Linked DNA regions of Drosophila melanogaster. The protein of the gene in region 1 interacts with the protein of each later gene in a pairwise test. Each region holds a gene or a part of one and is shown on either strand. Other genes may lie near its edges. The genes, in order: Droj2, Sec15, CG13133 and CG10958.

Region 1 (5,561 bases):
CCCGGATTTGGTAAAGGAGCTGCGCACTGTGTCCCAGGTGCAGCAGGAGGCTTGGCAGCGTGTGGAGGAGAAGCTCATCTATGGAACTGGAGTTGTGGCCGCTCTCCGAAACTTTGCGCACTAGTTTCCACCAGATTATGTTGTAGTTCATTTTGAAATTTTGTAAATAAATTTACAAAACATTTTACATTTTGAATTTGCTTTTGATGTTATTCCTTGCGACAGGCAGGTCCGCAGATTCATTTATAGGATGCTTTATAATCCTCAACAACTACAAAATCCCTCATTATATCCTTAACGATTTAATGGCATTACCATATATATCCCAAACTATCCTTATCTTTCTTTTTATCTTTTACTTATCCCAGATAGCATTTTAAATAATGTACTCAAGACGAAACTACTGCCATATGCCTGATATCTCCAATTGGCATTATTCGAATGATTCACACCTGCGGGTGACTATGCAGCGATTATGGAATCAATAGATAGCCGGAGGAAGGCAAGTGATACTGGAACTATGGGAAGAAGAATATACAGCATTTGGGTTGAAATTGTGTATTAATTATTTATTTGTTATATCCGTTTAAACTAACGCTTTTATTTATGCTGGAATTAAATAACTTAAACTTGTTCCTAGACGTGTTCGCTGGCGCGGACTTTAGATACGGTTCTAGTGGCGGCTAATTTCAATTTCAGTTTAGTTTAGTTTCAGTTTCCGTTTTCGATTCTTTGACAATCCAACGCAACATAAACATAAAGAAAAATGTTGGTTTACAAACAACCACGCGTTATAGACATAGTGCATATATCTGATAAGTTTCTTTGATTTATACCTAAATATCGTAGCTTGCATGAAATAACTTTAGATCTCTCGATTGGTTGGGCCTCCTAGTGTGAATTGGATGGTGTTTTAAGGTGCTTTTGGGAGTTCTTCGGCACTTGCAAGCGCAATTACAGTGTTCCGGGAGCTGGTTTACATATTATTACGGCTTGTTGGTTGGGGTATTATTAGGGCTGTGTGTCCGGGGATGCAACACGCAGCGGGGGCGCTTAACTCGATGTGCACTGCTGGACGCGTGGGCCATCCTGATAGCCGCCATCGTCCTCATCGTAGGCCATGCGCTGGTGTTGCTGGCGACGTTGCTTGGGATCAAAGTCCTCCTGCGAAAGATAAGCAAATCGATAAATAAATTAATTATAAATAATATATTATTTATATATCGTGATATAAACTACTACTGAAATACTCACCAAAACCGTCTGCTCTGCATCGATTGGAATGTCAACCTCCGGCGCCGGGGGTAGGCACTGTTTAAGCGTGGGCACCACCGACGGATTGATCACCTCCGGGAAGATCACCTCGAACTGGATGATCAACGTGCCCTTCTCCATGGGGTTCTTGAAAATGGGCATACCCTCCTCGGCAATACACTTGGTCATCTCATGCCTGATAACCTCGCCGGGCTGTGTGGACACAATCAGATCGCGATCATCGAGCGTTTTAACGATTCGCTGGAATCCGCAGAGCGCTTCGACAAGTTGCAACGGCATCTTCATCATTAAATCCTGTCCGGCGTGCGCGAATGTGGAGTGCTCCTTCTCGTCCAAAAGAATAATAATATCGCCCGGCTGAGATTCCGGCTCATGATCGCCCTCTCCCGTGAACACGATCTTCTGGCCATCCCGCATTCCCTTCTCAATGTGCACTTCCAATACCTTGCGTTCCCGCACCGTTTTGCGGCCACTGCAGTTCTTGCAGCGGTCCTTCTCCTGAATGGTCTCGCCAGTTCCCGAACACTTGCGGCACACCTGCTCGATGTGCTGCATGATGCCGGGGGCGATCTGCTGAACCCGTGTCTCCACACCGTTACCACGGCACTGCAAGCACTTCTCAATGCTGCCCTTCTTGCCGCCGCGACCCTCGCACTTGTCGCAGATCACATTCTTCTGGAGCTGCAGCTTGCGGGTCGCTCCATTGTACAGCTCCTCCAGCTGTACGGACATCTGGTGCACCACGTCCTTGCCACGCCTCTCGCGCCTGCGTCCACCGCCACTACCTCCGAATCCAGCGCCAAAGAACTTCTCAAAGAAGTCCATAGGATTGCGGAAGTCACCGGAATCTGCGCCGCCCTTCTTGATGGCCGCCTCGCCGCCTTCGTCGTACACCTGTCGCTTGTCCGCATCGGACAGCACTTCGTAAGCCTGCGAAATGGCCTTGAATTTCTCGCCCTCGTTGGGGTTCTTGTCCGGATGGTACTTGAGGGCCAGCTTGCGGTAAGCCTTCTTCAGCTCGTCGGGCGTGGCATTAGGCTTCACGCCAAGTATATCATAATATCCAGTCTCCTTAACCATTTTGTTTGCTGTTTACTGTGAACAGACGAAGTAGTGCGTAATTACTATCTGGGAGCTTGTAAATAACAGATTGGGGAACAGATTTGTGTATGCTCCAGGCATATATAGGTAGAAATTATGAAGTTGTGTAATACCGAAAATTTTTGAAGTTTCAACCGATTTGGATGCCAGTTCTTATAAAAAATGAAAAAAAAAAATTTATTTTGTGGTGCTGTTTCTATGGCAGCTAGGTTCCCGATGGAAGTTATTGTCAGTTTTATATCTAATGACATTTCATAGTTCAAAGGGCTGATTCCTCTCTAACTAGTATTGTAAACAAAAATCAGTAACCTATATTTTGTTACCCATTTTTTTTTGTAGAAATACATTTTTCAAAATCCAGAAACCACTCGATCATATGACCCTTTCTTGTTTATTGATTTCTACAGCTGTGACTTGATGCCATCACCCATTTTTTTCCGTGTAATTTGGGGGGCAACGGAAAATAGTAGGCATTGCCGGAAGCTAGAGCCCGGGATTCAAGGTCGTTACGCCGCCATGTGTTCGCGAAAATAACTGCGACGTTTTCTAGTCGATTTTCTAGAACAATTGTCGTATTTCAATACGGCGAGCAGCTGACGCTCTCTTTCCCCCTTTCGACAACAACCGCTTCTCTTTCGCACGCACACATACACACAGTTTCTAGAAGTTTTCGTCAGCGCATTGCAGCCCTGGTTTTGCGAACGGCGACTGCAAAGCGGAGAGGGTAATAATGAAAAAACCGTAAAAGAACGAAAAGGGGAACAAATGAAAGGAGAAAGGGCAGAGTCGAAAATAAGAATGGAAATGAATTCTAGAAGCAGCCTTCGATTTAGCAGGCAAATCAATAGATACAATTATTATATTTTCACCAGTGCCTAGCACACACATGCACCAGACTTTGCGCTTGTATGCGTACCAACATGTGCCGCGCAAGACGCTGCGTCAGAAGAATTCGATTGAACAAAGAAGAGAAAAAAAGCTAGATGGCCATCGATTTTGCAAATCTAATGCCAAAAATCGAAGGCAAATTCTCTGACAAAAAACAATTATCGATGATTACTTAACGACAGAGATGAGAAAACCAAGCGCAAAGGAAGTGTCTACCAAGTAGACACACACATTGGCAAACCGCACAATGCGAGACGAAATGTGCAAAATCAGGTGGTAATCTTAATTAGCCCAGAGCCGCCCCAGCTCACCTTTTTTCGTGTCGTGTCGTGCCTAAAGCAAATAGTAACTTTCGCAGCCCGATTCCTGGAAGTTTCACTTTTACAACAAATTTAATTTACGTCGAATACTTTTCAACAGCTTACTATGGCCGCCACGCTAGGAAGAAAACTGGAAACCAGTGTGACCAGAGCGGCAAACGGCAAGAAAAACCACAACATCAGGGTTGCCTCGCACCGCAAAGGTCCGAAAACTGGTATTTTAGTCATTTTCAGGTGATTAGCAATTTTTGATAATTTGATGGGATATAATATGTATTTCTTAAGTGTGATGGGCATTACAGAAATAATTTTGGCAATGCATTAATAAATACTGTGTTGAATAAATATTTTTCTTATTTATTAAGTTGAGTGGTTCTCAAAGTACTCCTTCTGAGTCCACGATTCTTATTAGCAATCGTTAGCCCTGGTTAGTGATATTCATCAGCTGTTTAGCAGTACAGTAAATGGTCACACTGTTTTGAAAGCCGATTATTTAATAAACATTTGGAAAACTTTATAAAATAAAACTACTTATCCGAAATGAGACACGTGCAGTTTCTGGCCCGCACCGTTCTGGTGCAAAACAATAATGTGGAGGAGGCGTGTCGTCTGTTAAATCGCGTCTTGGGAAAAGAAGAACTGCTCGACCAATTTCGCCGCACGCGATTCTACGAAAAGCCGTATCAGGTTCGACTTTAAATAACTTAACTATTTATTATTATTTACTGTATTAAACTATTGTATAGGTTCGTCGTCGCATCAACTTCGAGAAATGCAAGGCCATTTACAACGAGGACATGAACCGAAAAATTCAGTTCGTACTGCGCAAAAATCGCGCCGAACCTTTTCCTGGATGCAGTTAAACTAGTTTTTGAGGCAATAAAATGTAGGAATTAAATAAATTGCTTATTTTCTAGTACGAGATTTGCTGTCGCTGTCGATAAATGGACTTTGCAATTTCGATTTTATCCATTCAAAAAAGTATGAAGTTTTTGTGTAAAATGCTGGCTTGCAAGTTTTAAGTACGCAGGGCTTCTGTCCGTAGGAGATTATGCCGGCTGCATAAGTGAGTGTGACCTTTCCACGTATCACGGTCTCCATTAAGGGTCCCCCGGAATCGCCGGGACTGGTGTCATTCCCATCCAGACCACCAGCACATATCTGACTGCCCAAATTAAAGTCATAATTTGATTTGCACACATCTGGATGCCGTTCCGCGATGAAGCTGCGCAAGAGTACCTCACTTGCAATTCCTTGTCCCATGTCTGGCCAGCCGGATGCTTGAAACTTTCGCTTATGCGCGGCCAATTTTTGGGCTCTTGGAAGGCAAATAGGTTGGATGGCTCTCGTATAGCTATAGGAAGATATAAAGATATATTATTTCAATTCATATCCTACTTCTATTTCGACCAGAGGAGAATCATTACTCACCGCACAGGAAACTTAAGACGCACGAGTGCTATGTCGTTTATCAGCCGCCTTCCCCGGTTGAATTGTTCATGCGTAATAATTTGGTCCACTTCAATTTCCATATAAAGAGGAGCGTACTGTCTTCTTCCATTCACAATAGCCCGATCGGGATTTGTGGACGTGTTATGTTCGCCCAGTCTCACTGTTTTGAGGGCATACGGATAGTCCATAAATGGATACTCCACGCAGTGCGCTGCGGTCAGGACGTACCAGTTGTTTATTAGGGATCCACCACATTTTGGTACCAGCTTCTGGGACAAATTGTTTTTATTTCCATATAACAGCATGGCCATCCAGGGAAACTCATTCAGCGCCGGTATTTTGCCCTTCGTAGGTTTTCTTCTTGATTGTCCACAAGTATCGTGTGGCAGATACGTTTCCCACTTGGGGCAGCACACTTTATTAGTGCCGCATCTTCTAAGACCTATTATATTTTTCCTGGATGAGTTCATAACTGCTCTGGTCCTGGGACACTTATCCAGATTCACGCATTCCGTATCAAATTGA
Region 2 (5,073 bases), 7.7 Mb from region 1:
AATTTAGCCAACCGTACGCACCTTGGGCAACGTTTCCCGCAGACAGCAGGCCAGGACCACAAGATCTCCAACTGCCAGGCCAAACGCCAGCAGAGAGGGCAACACAAACCAAGTACTTCCACTTTTATCGGAGAATATGGCGAACAGGGCTCCAATCATGGGCCCCACAATAAAGCCCAGCGAGAAGGCCACACCCACAAGGGCCATACCGCGTCCACGGGTCTTAACGCTGGACACATCCGTAATGACGGACATGCACAGGGATATGTTGCCCTTGCTAATTCCGCCCACGAAGCGGGCCAAAACGAACAGGGCAAAGTTGCTGGAGCAGGCCCAGATCAGATAGGATAACGCAATACCACTCTATAGATGAAAGAAGACGTAGCTTAAGGAAGGTTTACTTATTTGTGGCTTAGCTAAGGAGTTTGAATTTGACGAATTCCACGCTTTTGGATTGAACTCGTAATAGCATGAAATGTTGACCAAGCCAAAAAGAAAACTAACAAGACTAGTTTAGTGTTTAGTGCACATTAAAGCATTGAGCACTGGGATTACCTACCGCACAAGCCAGCAGGACTGGTTTCCGTCCGTAGTAGTCCGAGAGTCCTCCGACAATCGGACTGGCCACGAACTGCAGGAAGCTGAACATGGAGCCGAGAAAGCCTCCGAATAGCACCGATATGTAGCGATCCGGGGCGCCCAGGAGCTGCTGGAACCAGCGCACCCGATCCGTGAGCACGGCATACAAGCCGGAGCTGTCGTTCTGGCGATAGTGCTCCAACAGCGAGGGCAGCAGCGGCAGAATGATGGTGAAGGCCAGTAAGTCGAAGAGCAGCGATACGAAGATTATGTATATCATGGGATCACTCTTCTCCGGCTTTCCATTCTCCGATGCTTCCTTATCCAGCGCTTTATTGTTGTTGTGATGGTGGCTTCCGGTTTGGCTGTGGCTTTGCTTCTCCATGGCAGCGGTTCCATTGTGGCGACTCCGTAGGTCGGCCATCTTTGCTGATTTCGGGTGTTTAGCTTGTGCCGTGATTGCGTGCGTGTACGGGTGTTACTGCAACATAACTGTATCAACGGAACCACAACTCCACCGACAACTCTTGGCCCTCTCGAGAAGCGGCCAGCCAAAGCGAAGCCAAAGTGAAAGCTGAACAGCAACAGCTGTTCCAAGGCGGCCTATAACGAGCAGACGGCATTCCAACCTGTTGCTTGCTGCGGATATTTGAAATAAGGGCGCCAAAATGAGTTATTCAAACATCTGTAATTAATTACTTTTCTTATCAAAATTACCAACGAATATTATGTTGGTGAACATTACTAATAGCATAGGTTTAAGTTGTAAATATTTAATTAATTTATAAATATTTTACAAATCATTGTTTCCTGCTTAAATAGTTAAGAACCGGATTTTGATATACATATATAAATTAAGTTTATGATTCGGTAGTTTTCGCCTATTTGATTTATTTATTTTATTACAATCCTAGTGATAATATCTTTTTAAAAGATAATGCAGTCAGATATTCTCTGACACAACTTTGTATTATAATTTAAAACATACCGCTTAAAATTGTTATCGCCTAGTATCGAAAGTCAAACCTCGATAACACTTAGTAAATATTCGATATACCATACCGATAAGTCGGCGAAATAATTGCTCATTAAAGTTTGGTAAAAAGTTGTTTAGAAGAGAAAAAAGAGCGTTATAAGATGTCCAAAGTGACCGTGCAAGACATTGAGGCGGTGGACGACTACTGGGGACCAACATTCCGTTCGATCCTTGAAGGTGACTGCGAATAGAAGCAATTGGCACACTTTGTTTACGCCCATTTTCCTTTTTTCCCGGACAGGCAACAACACTAAGCAGATTGGCGACCAACTGGAGCAGCGGATACGGAGCCATGACAAAGAGATCGAGCGGATCTGCAATCTGTACTACCAGGGCTTCATCGATTCAATTCAGGAGCTGCTCCAGGTGCGCACGCAGGCCCAACAGCTGCACAACGAAGTGCATTCCTTGGACACGTCCCTTCGCCAGATCAGCGCCTCGCTGATTCAGCAGGGCAATGATCTAGTGCGGGCCCGTCAGATCGAATCCAATCTGGCCAGCGCCATCGAGGCACTCAAATCCTGTCTGCCCGCATTGGAGTGCTACATGAAGTTCACACAGCAGGCAAAGAACAAGCAGTACTACCAGGCGCTGAGAACTCTGGAGACTCTGGAGACGGAGCACCTAACGCGCTTGAAGACACACAACTACCGATTCGCCACCCAGATGCAGATACAGATTCCCATAATCAAGGAAAACATCCGTCGCTCTTCCGCCTCGGACTTTCGAGAGTTCCTCGAGAACATCCGGAAGTTTTCACCCCGCATCGGCGAGCTGGCCATCACACACACAAAACAGCTCCAAAAGCGTGATATCAACGCCATCATTGCCGAGCACATGCAGCAGATGAATGGCGGCGAAGCCGGCGGAGCAGGTGCTGGCGGGGATGATGATGGTGCCAACGTTAGTGCCCAGGATCTCATTGACTTCTCCCCCATCTACCGCTGCCTACACATCTACATGGTGCTGGGTCAGCGGGAGTACTTCGAGAAGGACTATCGTCAGCAGCGCAGGGATCAGGCCAAACTGGTGCTTCAACCGCCGCCCAACATGCACGACAATTTGGAGGCCTACAAAACGTACATCTGTGCCATCGTTGGCTTCTTCGTGGTTGAGGATCACGTTAAAAACACGGCGGGCGATGTCGTGACCAGCAGTTATTTGGAGGATCTGTGGTCCAGCTCGTTAACCAAGTTTGTCAACGAAATCAGCATGAGTTCTTCGTCCTGCACCGATCCTAATATCCTTCTGCGCATTAAGAACCTCATTATGCTGTCCATCAACACCTTTAAGTGCTACGGTTACACCGTGAACATCCTCTGGGAACTATTGCACAACATGCGGGATCATTATAATGAGGTGAACGTTAAGAAATTCTATAAGCCATTCTGTTGTTTGTAAAACTCTTGGCTTTCCTTTCCAGGTTTTACTGCAACGCTGGGTACATGTGTTCCGCGAAATTCTCGACAAGGAACAGTTCCTGCCCATGGTTGTACAAAACACGGAAGAGTATGAATGCATCATCGAACGATTCCCCTTCCACTCGGAACAGCTTGAAAATGCTCCGTTTCCGAAGAAATTCCCCTTTTCGAGAATGGTGCCGGAGGTTTATCACCAGGCCAAGGAATTCATGTACGCCTGCATGAAGTTCGCCGAGGAGCTCACCCTATCGCCCAACGAGGTGGCCGCCATGGTGCGCAAGGCGGCCAATCTGCTGCTCACACGAAGTTTCAGTGGCTGTCTATCTGTGGTGTTCCGCCAGCCGAGCATCACGCTGACGCAGCTCATTCAGATCATAATCGACACGCAGTACTTGGAGAAGGCAGGGCCGTTTCTGGACGAGTTCGTGTGTCACATGACCAACACGGAGAGGAGCGTATCTCAGACACCATCGGCCATGTTCCACGTGGCCCGGCAAGATGCCGAGAAGCAGGTGGGCCTACGTATTTGCTCGAAGATCGATGAGTTCTTCGAACTAAGCGCCTATGACTGGTTACTAGTAGAGCCGCCGGGAATAGCCTCCGCCTTCATTACGGACATGATTTCCTACCTTAAGAGCACCTTTGACAGCTTTGCCTTCAAGCTGCCCCACATCGCCCAGGCGGCCTGCCGACGCACCTTCGAGCACATTGCAGAGAAGATTTACTCGATCATGTATGACGAGGATGTGAAGCAGATTTCCACGGGAGCACTCACACAAATCAACTTGGATCTGATGCAGTGCGAGTTTTTTGCGGCCTCGGAACCTGTGCCTGGTCTAAAGGAAGGAGAGCTGAGCAAGTACTTCCTACGTAACCGTCAGCTGTTGGACCTGCTCATTCTAGAGGAATGGAGCACGTATTTCCATGACTATGGCAAGCAAGAGAACCGCTACCATCTGGTGCAACCGCAGTCCATTATTGTGATACTGGAAAAGATCCGCGAGGCGGACAAAAAGCCAATTTTCTCGTTGGTGCGAAAGAATGACAAGAAGAAGCTTTTGGAGACGGTGCTCAAGCAGCTTAAGCACATTGCCGATAGACAGAATTAGAAATATCAGGCTTGTAGTTAGTCGCTTTAAGTCCTTGTTGAATTCGTGTAATCATAAACTATAGCTTTTCATCTTTATTGTTTAGGCTAATTTGAATTTTCACATGGAAAAAGTATTTAGTTCTCATTACATTTGATTCGATTTGTTTTTATAAAAGACAAATTTCAATTGAAACAGCTCGACCCGTTGAACGTGTAAAATTGTATTTTGAATTTTTGATTCTTATGTACAAAAAGCGCAGAACTTTAGCGGTTGCCTACGTACGGATTGTTGATAAATACAAAACGAAAACGACATAGAATGAAAACAAACGGAGAGGAACGTCTAAATAACAAATTGTATATAATTATTAGATGTATGTAGCGTACGTGTATTGTGTAGGTATATTCCGCAAATCGTAATAAACTAACTTCTAAGTTACGTATATGCGTTGTTTGTGTTGCTTTTGTCAACTCTTCGTCTCCAAATGCTTGGGCGCATCCGCATACGTGAACTTCAGGCGGAATGCCTCGGCCAGCAGAACGTTGATTTGTCGATCGGACCAGTTGTGTGTTGGCAGATTTTGTAGCAGCAACATGAGGCCCTATCACATAGCAAGATGGCAATGATTAGTAGACGTTGCAGGAAGGGAAGATCTTTTCGTCTGGAGACTCACCTGGAAATCGTTTTGTTGCATCAGCTGCTCCTTCCAGTGCAGAAGGAATGCCGCGCACACGTACAAGTGGAACAGGGCAAAGCCGTCAGACTCTGCGAGATATGTGTCCCACAATCGGATGGTGCAGTGCAGCGGCAGCTCGCGTGTCAGCAGATTGTTCATCCAGCGAAATGAGAATTGCAAGTAGTCGACGCCATGTGCCTGTAGATGACGATGTAAGTTCACTGAAAGCACAAATTACAATTTATTATCATCACTCGGCAATTGTAGGTT
Region 3 (3,251 bases), on another chromosome or scaffold:
TTCTTTATTGTCTTTTTATGGGCCATGTGCCCGAGGATACGAACACAGACAAGAAAAACACAAAAGGTGTTAGTGAATTTTATTCAAATTTGACGCTAATCAAAAGCTGCGTGACAGGAAAGTTAAAAGCAGCGAGAAATCCAATTCGCTTGGGTTTTGAATTCGAGCTGAAGTTTTCCCAGAGGCATGATTTATCCCTGATTTGGGTTTGTTTTCCCGATTAGCTGGAGGATATTTTCATTCGGATTGTACTTGAAATAACAACTTGGTGGAATGAAACATTGTTATCTTTAAATACCTTGATCCGATTTGATTTAGAATTCATTAAATGTAAATATATTTTCCAGTGAAATGTTCATCTTCATTATATTTAATAATTAAGCTCGAAGAAAATGAACAGCCATTGCAAAATACAGTACAAAATAAAACAGAATACCGTTTAAATAAATGATAAGATTAAAGGTGTTAAATTATTTCTTCGAAAAATCTGGAAATATTCAAAACTCTCCTGTTTTCTGATAAAGTCCTTTATTGGCGTTAAACAAAATCACAAGCGGATATGAACTCTTAAACGTTATATTGAAGCTACCTTAAGAAAATTCTACAAAATGTTGACTTCGCCATATTTGCTCACGTTTCGAACGAAGGACTACGTGCTATCTAAGCTGGAACCCAGGAACAATCCGAGTGATTTTGGTTTCCACGAAAAACTCCAACGTGCATGTGCGCCAGGTGACTGGAATGTGCTTCGACTGTCTCTCCGTCTGATATACTGCAACTGCCCTCCAACCGATCGACTGCCTCTGGCGGCCTAAACGCATTTGGACTTCCGCCTCCACTTTGGTATGAGCAAGCGGAACCGCCGCGCAACCGCCAGACGTCGCCGGCTTCATTTGTCCATCGCCGTGCCAGCAGGATTAGCCTCTCCACCATCGCCGTCCACATCCGCCTGCTCGATAGCCTTGGGCGCCGTGGGATCGGACACGCTGCCAAAGTAATTGCCCGTGGGCTCAATCTCGATCTCGCGCTCCACGTCGTCCAGTTTCGGTGGTGCTGGCACCGTAATCATCAGTATTCCGTCCGCAGAGAAGGTGGCCCGTGCCTGTGTGGCATCGTAGTGCCGTGGTAGCTTGTAGGATCGCGTAAACTCGCGAGTGATGCACAACTGACCCTTCTCCGCCCGGTCATCCGCCTGCTTGCCCTCCACGCACACGGTGTCGCTGTTTTTGGCCTTCACCGTGAGCTCAGAGATCTGAAAGTGGTGCACGTCCAGCACCACCTTGAAGGTGCCCCGACCCAGGGAGTCCGGTTCGGTGCCGGTCTCTATGACCACTCGCCCAACCAGACAGGATCCATGGCACCAGGCACTGTCGTCCATCCGCAAGTGAAAGTCCCGCGCACATACGTCCAGGTCGTGGGAGAGATAGTAGTGCCTCTGCCGGCACTTGGACTCCCCGGTGGACCAGTGGCGACGCGGCGGTTGCCAGTGATGGTGACCATGCTCGTGATCATGCTCCCAATCCCAGTCCCAGTGGATGGGCATGACTGCGCCACCGGTTCCCGATGCACGGACTCCGGTTCGTTGGACACACGGAGCAAGCGTGTTGATTTTTGGCTTATGTGGCCAAAAAAACCGTTGCCCTCCGCCCGGTTCGACTCTTACAAGCTAACTGAGTGGATGAGGTTATGGTAATCGCTGGAACTTGGAGCTGCACAACTGTACCTGGCACCAAAGCCACTCTAACTGAGCATATTTCTGTTCCACCTTCAATGGCGTTTTTAAGTACAGTGACTCTTCAGTAGGTGCGACTCCAATTCGATGCAGGAAAGGATCATTTAGAAACATGCACGTAAACCAAAAGATATTCTTTTAATTAAGTTGGCTACAGGTAAATGGCTTTTTACTAAGTGATAACTCTCAATCAGTTACATATATCAGGATTTTACTGTATCGCGTTCCTTCAGTGGGACACGCGTTCCCGGGAAAGTGGGTCTCAGCCTTGTCCGACAACTCGAACTGTTTGATCAATACCCGTCCCACCAGCAGTCCAATCAGCCGCGGAGCTTCGTCCTTTTATTGCACAAGCGGCGCCAAGGAGCCGGAATCGGAAGACGGGACAAGGAGAGCACAGTGCACACAGCGCGAGTTGAGCCAGTTATGAGATAATGCCAAAAATTTTGAATCAAACCGAGTGCTGGAGGAATGGCGAATGGTGTCACTAATTGTACCATTGTCACCCCGCCACGGGAAGAGCAAAGCAAATCCGAGCAACTGAACTCGGCAGACGAGTATGGCAGACGCATTGTGGCAAATGAAACTAATGAAAATCGTGACCCCACAGCAACATTGGATACTTATGCACTAAGAGAAACTGCATGGATATCTATGAAAATCGAAAGCTACTCCATGAAGAGTGGCAAAAGTCCTTGTTAAAATTGTATACTTATTTTAAAATTTGAAATACACTTTTTTTAGTGCGTTTTTTTTTTCAGTGTGACTGCAGTGCTATCCAAACAGCTGTTAACAGGGTGCTATCTTTTACGGAAAATATGGCAAAAGTAAGCAACCAAATTTTCTGATTGGCTGTAGATAATGAAAGCTGCGTCGGATTAAATTTCCCGCCAAATCCTTAAGGCTCGTGGGACCAAATTACAACCACTTCCTCTCGATTTGCACCCTGTATTCGATAGCTGTATTCCATTGTCCTTAGACGACGACGACGACATCGTCGTTGCGTTGTCAAGACAGTTGTTGCCTCTTTGTTGCTGCCATTTTTGTACCACTGCTGCCCCGGGTTGAGCCAATTTGTAAAATATATACGATATATATTTTACTTATGTCTGGTGCTGCTGGGGTCAGGCAATTTGGCTGCTCGCGCTGCATGGCTGCTGAAATTGAATTTTTGCTTTGGCTTTTAAGCAAGTTTGACAAATTTTCAGAGCACGGCCAAAAGTGACTGCAACAGTTTCGTTAGCTTCCAAGCCAAAAGTCGATGTTTTCTTGGCCAAGGGAAAAGCAGAAAAGTCAAAAGGGGATGGGGGCCAAGGGGTAGATGGGTTTGAAATTGCATTGACAGGCAGTCAAGCCCTTCCACTTCATGGCGCTGGGACAAATATAGATTACGCAAGTGCTTAGGGTTAAGCTAATATTAGCAGGAATCTAAATTCCTTCCTCAAAAGGTCAATTGGTTTGCTGGCTACAAATTGTGCACCGCTTTTACATAACACATCGATGCCAAAGACGTCAGAGA
Region 4 (5,108 bases), on another chromosome or scaffold:
CTTTATCGGTTTGCCCTGATAAGACACATAAGACACAAGTGCAACAAGTTCTAATCGTTTGGCTTCCAGTAGTGAAATGGTAGCTGTGGGAGGTAAGCGATCGAAGGTATTCCCCGTCGTAGAGATCATCTAACGCCAACTAGTTCCCACGGACTCAAAGTTCGAAATGAAATGAAAAGCAAATCAAACATCTGAGATCGACAGTTTGGTGGACCAGAGAGCGGCATGGACGGCATTGGGAATATTTCTAAAGGGGATGGATGGGTACTTTAAGTTTATGAAGCAAATACAAGTCATATTTATCTCAAAGATATGGTATTAAGATTAATTTAAGGACTCAAGGGGAAACCCCTCACAAATGTTATCAAAGAGCTCTTTTCATGCTAGGCACTAATAATGATATCAGAGAGCTGTTCATAGTTTAGAGCGGGACAAACTGAGCTATAGACGTAGTAATATTTAACTTTGAGGGGTTCCATTATTTTAAATATTTAAAATCACAAGGTTTTCATGTTCAAAATATACTTTTATTGCACGACTCTTGAATGAAACAAGCTTTTTCAGATGGCGCCCGTGCAGGGACCCCACGTCTCTAAACTATTTCGATGTCAATGTCAAAGAGCAAGACCTAGGCACAATTATAATTTATCATGTTTGCAGTGAAATCGGACAATAATTGCTTGGGATTATGTATGTGCATTGCGGTTGAGGCTGTAATTGAATAATATCGCACCTAGACGGTGAACTTTTGCAGCAGATGGCGCAACTCTTCGTTTTGGCGACGCAGAAAGACGACTTCCGCATCGTACTGCACACGCATCTTGAGCACCTCAACGTAGTGATTCAGTCCGTGCTCCAGTGTCTTCCACAGCTTGCACTTGGAGGCCGGGAAGCAGGCCGAGAACTGGCGCCAGAAATTACGGATCTCCGCATCTGTAATCTGAATGAGATTTACCGCATTGAGAATGCTACCCGGTTCGTGTTCGTACATCTTTTTGTGCATCTTGGAGGTGAACAGATTCATGGCGTGCAGGCAGAGGGCCGGTTCCATGACCAGATAGTGATTGTGACATCTCTTGGCCGCCACCTCGCTCTTGGGTAGAAATGTATCCCCTGTCGACCTATGCTCCTTTTCATCCGGTTGGCCACCCGCCGCGCCCTGCAGCCGATTTGGCTTTTGATCCTTCATGAACACCTCGGCACACTTGCGTGGACTCAATCCCTGCGGCTGGCAATTCGGACAGTAGGTGTACGGCATGAAAACCTTGGTCAGTTCCTTGACATCCCGCAGATGACGAATTCGCAGCGCCGCAAATATATTGTCGATGCGTACCAGGCATTTTTCCTCCTCGGAATACGGTTCAAGAATCTTTAGCAGACGCTCCTCGATGAGGAAACCGCCGCGATCGGACAGCTTGCGAATAAGATTACGCATCAAGCGTAGTGAATCCGGCGGAAGCTCCTTGATATCCGGCTTGCAATTTACGCCCGAGTTGGGCATCACCCTGTTCTTGGGAACCCGGCCAATTCGCATGTCAAACTTCTCCAGAATGTTATTGCGCTTTTTCTTCGCCTTGTTGATGTTTGGAATGGGTGGCACGGGGCTGGACCACGGCATGGCCAACTGCTGCTCGTGTATGATGCGATCGATGTGGTAGACCCGATCCACCAGCAGGTTCAGTTCCTTGTAGTTGATCTCCCAGATGCGATCGAACTTTTCGCGATTGTTCAGCCTCGCCTGATGCGCCTTCGACTCCATATCGTTGATGTTGGAGTGCAGCTTGTAGATGTCCGAGGAAAGACGGGCTATGTTCCGCTTGCCCGTGTTGTAAAGATTCTTCAGGCCACGCCGGGTGCGTCCGATCGCCTCATGCAGTCGGGCCACCCGTCGCTTCTGCTGGTTGTTAATGATCACGTTCTCCTCGTTGCGCTTCTGGAGAACCTGATAGTTGTAGTCCAGCTTCTCGGAGTTCATCAGCACATTGTCGCGCGTGCGACGTAGCTCCAGCTCGAGCCTCTCGCACTCCTTCTCCAGCCGAATGCGAGTGCTCTTGGTCAGCTCCTCCTGGGACTCGTTGATCTGCTGGGTTTGGCGAGCATAGAATTGCTCGCGTGCCCTTACCAAATTGGCCTTCTCGTCAAAGTTGGCATTCATCGCATCGAAGAAGGTGCGCCACTTCTCCACCGCATTATCGGCGAAGATTTGACGCTCCTCCTCGATGGTTTGCCGCAGCATTTGGATGTGCTCCTTGTAGGCCTCCTTAAGCGTCTCCACCTGGTGATCAACGCGCTCCACCAGACAACAAAGATCCTGGGCCTGCCGCTCGCGATCGAACTCGTACTTGGCATTCATGCGGTCCACCTCCGCTTGGCAGGCAGATATCATCTCATCCTTGCGTGCCATAATCTCGGCAATGCGTTTCTTTTGCTCTTCGATTTGGTCCCACAACAGCATCGGCTCATTGGTCTCCTCCAGCTCCGTCCAGCGCGCCTTAATGTTCTCGAAACGGGCCATTGTCTCAACGCTTTCGCGTTGCAGCTTCACATGCATCTGATTCTTCTGCGCACCCTCGAAGAGTCGGCGATTCAGCTCCCTTCGCTCGTTGGCCACCCGGACATTGGTCACTAGTTCTTTGCCAAAGCGCACCAGTTCGTTCAATCGCTCACTGGACAACTCCAGCCGTTGATCAATCGGCGACTTCTGGGCCTGGCAACGTTCGGCGACGCCTTTCGGGGCCTCGCGGAACTGCTGACGCACCCGGTTGAGTATCGCCAGCCGGCGTTCGTCCAACTTCTTCACCGACTTGTCGCATCGCTCGTTAAAGATCAGGCCATCGATGCGGTCATTAAAGGACTCCCAACTGTCCACTGGTCCCAGATCGGGCTCCACCTCCTCCTCCTCCTCGACACTGCCGTCGCTGACCAGCTCCTGGTGCTCCTCCAGCTCATCCTCGTTGTCGTCCATTGTTTAAAATATATGCCAGGTCGAGATTTGGATGAGAATCGCTTTGTTGTGCGGAATTTCTGAAGGCAACTCTGCTCCAAATCAAGGTGGTTTGTTGTGTGACTGGAGAAGTTTGATCGAAGGATCCCGGGTTCCCTTGGTTTCGTGGTCATTGCCCATTTCGCCTACTTTTCCGGTAGAAACAAAAATGTTGTCTTTACGTTTGTTTACTTCTGTTGTCAGTGGTGCCCGCCCCATTAGTGTTGCAAAACAAGAGAAGTGCAGGCTTAAGCAAATATACATGATCTTTTTTTTTAATAAAAAGTGTCTCATGACTGCTTTACCATATTTTGTCAATAATAATTAACAATAAATCATTGAATAATACGTATTTAATACATAAAAGTCTATTTAGTTTTGAAATTAGTTCATCTCCACCCGAAATAATCGTTATCGAAATGGAGCAATAAGTGCTGTAGCTAAAGTTATTTCCTTCTCACTTCCTCCTGCTGTATAGCCCGTGCTGACGTCACCGGGGCCTTGCTAAATGCAAAATGAGTGGAAAATTCCATTGCCAAAACCGCAATGACCCCTTGGTACAACCAAAAGGCGCGATGTTTGACCCCTTGGTTGCAATCAACAGTCCGAACTTGATGCCCTTTAAAATACAGCCCTGCGGATTTGTACACACTGGGTTGCATTCGACCAAAAAACTTGGTACTGCCATTCAAAAACAAAGTCAAGCGAATGAATTCTTTACATGATAGTATTTAATTGCGACCTATATATGTACAAAATTTGCGCGGAGTTGCGGCACTCAGTTATCCTCAGTCTTCAAGGTGATTTCATATATCAGCTCGTCGTTGTAGTCCTGCCCTCGGCCATGATGCTGCTGATGCTGCTGGTGATGCTGTTGGACAGCGTTAAAGTACTGATCCTCGGTTAGCAGCTCATCTAAATCCTCACCGCCATCCTCTGCGTCCACTGCGTTCTCCACCAGCAGGTGCTGGTCATCGTAATCCGATAGCTGCACATACTGTTGCTCGCTCTCGTCCAAATATTGGCGATTGGACGGCGAACCCTGCTCCTCTGGTTGATTGTCCTCAACCAACAGGCCGTCATCCTCGTCGTACTCCTCCTGCAGTGGGCCCATGCCGTCGTAATCGTCGTCCTGGCCATTCATATTGCGACCGGAAATGGATTCCGAATCGGATCCTTCACGATTCCCATCCGCATTCACAAAGCGACGCGTATTGCTACGGCACTGAATCGAACGCTTGTGGGCATCGAAGTAGCTGATGTCGGTGAACTCCTCCTGGCACAAATGGCACACGTATGTGCCCTGGCTCAGATGCATCTCCTTACGATGACGGGCCATCTTGTGAGCATCGCGACACTGCATGCCACAGAATGGGCATTTGAGCATCCGCCGCTTGCCCATGTGAACATTGCGGATGTGCTCCTGCAGAGAGAAATTCTTGTAGTAGGCCTTCTGGCAGTACTCGCACTGGAATCGCCGCTTCTTCTCGTGCGTCGCCTCGCGATGCCGCTTCAGCTGGGTATTCTGGGCGAACGTCTTGCCGCACACTTCGCAAATATGCTCCTTCTCCAGATGTCGGCGCTGATTGTGCACGCGCAGATCCTGCTTGGTCGAAAAGTATAGGGTGCACAGTTCGCAGACGTATGGACGGATGCCCATGTGGCGCCGCGCATGTCCGGCCAGGTACTTGCAGTCGCGATACGTTTCCGTGCAGTAAATGCAAGCATAGCGATTGGTGCCAGGCACCAGATGGGTCTTGTGGTGCTTGGACAGCTTTGATTTGTGCATCACATCTGGGCAAATGCCGCACTCCACCGGCAGCTTCTCGTCCATGATGTCGCTGATCATGGAGAACTCCACAAGGGGTGTGCTATCCTCGTCAAAGTCCACAATGGTGGCTATCAGGTCGTCGAAAAGCATGTAGCGACGCGGTCCCTTGAACTCCTCCAGCATCTTTTCGCTTGGCTTCACCTCCTTCACGCTACCATCATCGTCGTCGTTGTTTTTTTGGCTGACAAAGCTACGTAAGGCGATCTGGCGGGCAGAATTTCTAGCTTTGCTAGCGGGCTGGACAACAGGCGACGGCGGCCTTGGTGGCGATGGTGGCAGCGAGGGTGACGACGG

Evidence for each region.
Region 2: the proteins of Droj2 (region 1) and Sec15 interact in a two-hybrid assay, tested with the Drosophila melanogaster proteins (one large-scale study listed by BioGRID).
Region 3: the proteins of Droj2 (region 1) and CG13133 interact in a two-hybrid assay, tested with the Drosophila melanogaster proteins (one large-scale study listed by BioGRID).
Region 4: the proteins of Droj2 (region 1) and CG10958 interact in a two-hybrid assay, tested with the Drosophila melanogaster proteins (one large-scale study listed by BioGRID).

Annotation. Positions count from the first base shown.
Region 1 is NT_033777.3:13,380,273-13,385,833, reverse strand, and holds Droj2 (DnaJ-like-2), read right to left. Parts: upstream 3,729-5,561; 5' UTR 3,690-3,728; exon of another isoform or gene 3,631-3,689; 5' UTR 3,576-3,630; intron 3,013-3,575; exon of another isoform or gene 2,722-3,012; intron 2,570-2,721; exon of another isoform or gene 2,371-2,569; 5' UTR 2,356-2,370; coding exon 1,255-2,355; intron 1,165-1,254; coding exon 1,054-1,164; 3' UTR 551-1,053; downstream 1-550. Other genes in the region: CG9799 (uncharacterized protein), read left to right, coding at 1-124; mRpS21 (mitochondrial ribosomal protein S21), read left to right, coding at 4,125-4,271, 4,331-4,447; CG8870 (uncharacterized protein), read right to left, coding at 4,491-4,938, 5,016-5,561.
Region 2 is NT_033777.3:21,104,537-21,109,609, reverse strand, and holds Sec15 (secretory 15), read left to right. Parts: upstream 1-1,637; 5' UTR 1,638-1,716; coding exon 1,717-1,792; intron 1,793-1,856; coding exon 1,857-2,974; intron 2,975-3,038; coding exon 3,039-4,145; 3' UTR 4,146-4,564; downstream 4,565-5,073. Other genes in the region: rtet (tetracycline resistance), read right to left, coding at 22-363, 560-1,003; Tbc1d22 (TBC1 domain family member 22), read right to left, coding at 4,594-4,728, 4,801-5,024. UniProt on the Drosophila melanogaster protein: Component of the exocyst complex involved in the docking of exocytic vesicles with fusion sites on the plasma membrane.
Region 3 is NT_033779.5:10,090,693-10,093,943, forward strand, and holds CG13133 (uncharacterized protein), read right to left. Parts: upstream 1,698-3,251; 5' UTR 1,544-1,697; coding exon 890-1,543; 3' UTR 516-889; downstream 1-515.
Region 4 is NC_004354.4:8,130,369-8,135,476, reverse strand, and holds CG10958 (uncharacterized protein), read right to left. Parts: upstream 3,193-5,108; 5' UTR 2,966-3,192; coding exon 734-2,965; 3' UTR 510-733; downstream 1-509. Other genes in the region: CG2116 (uncharacterized protein), read right to left, coding at 3,762-5,108.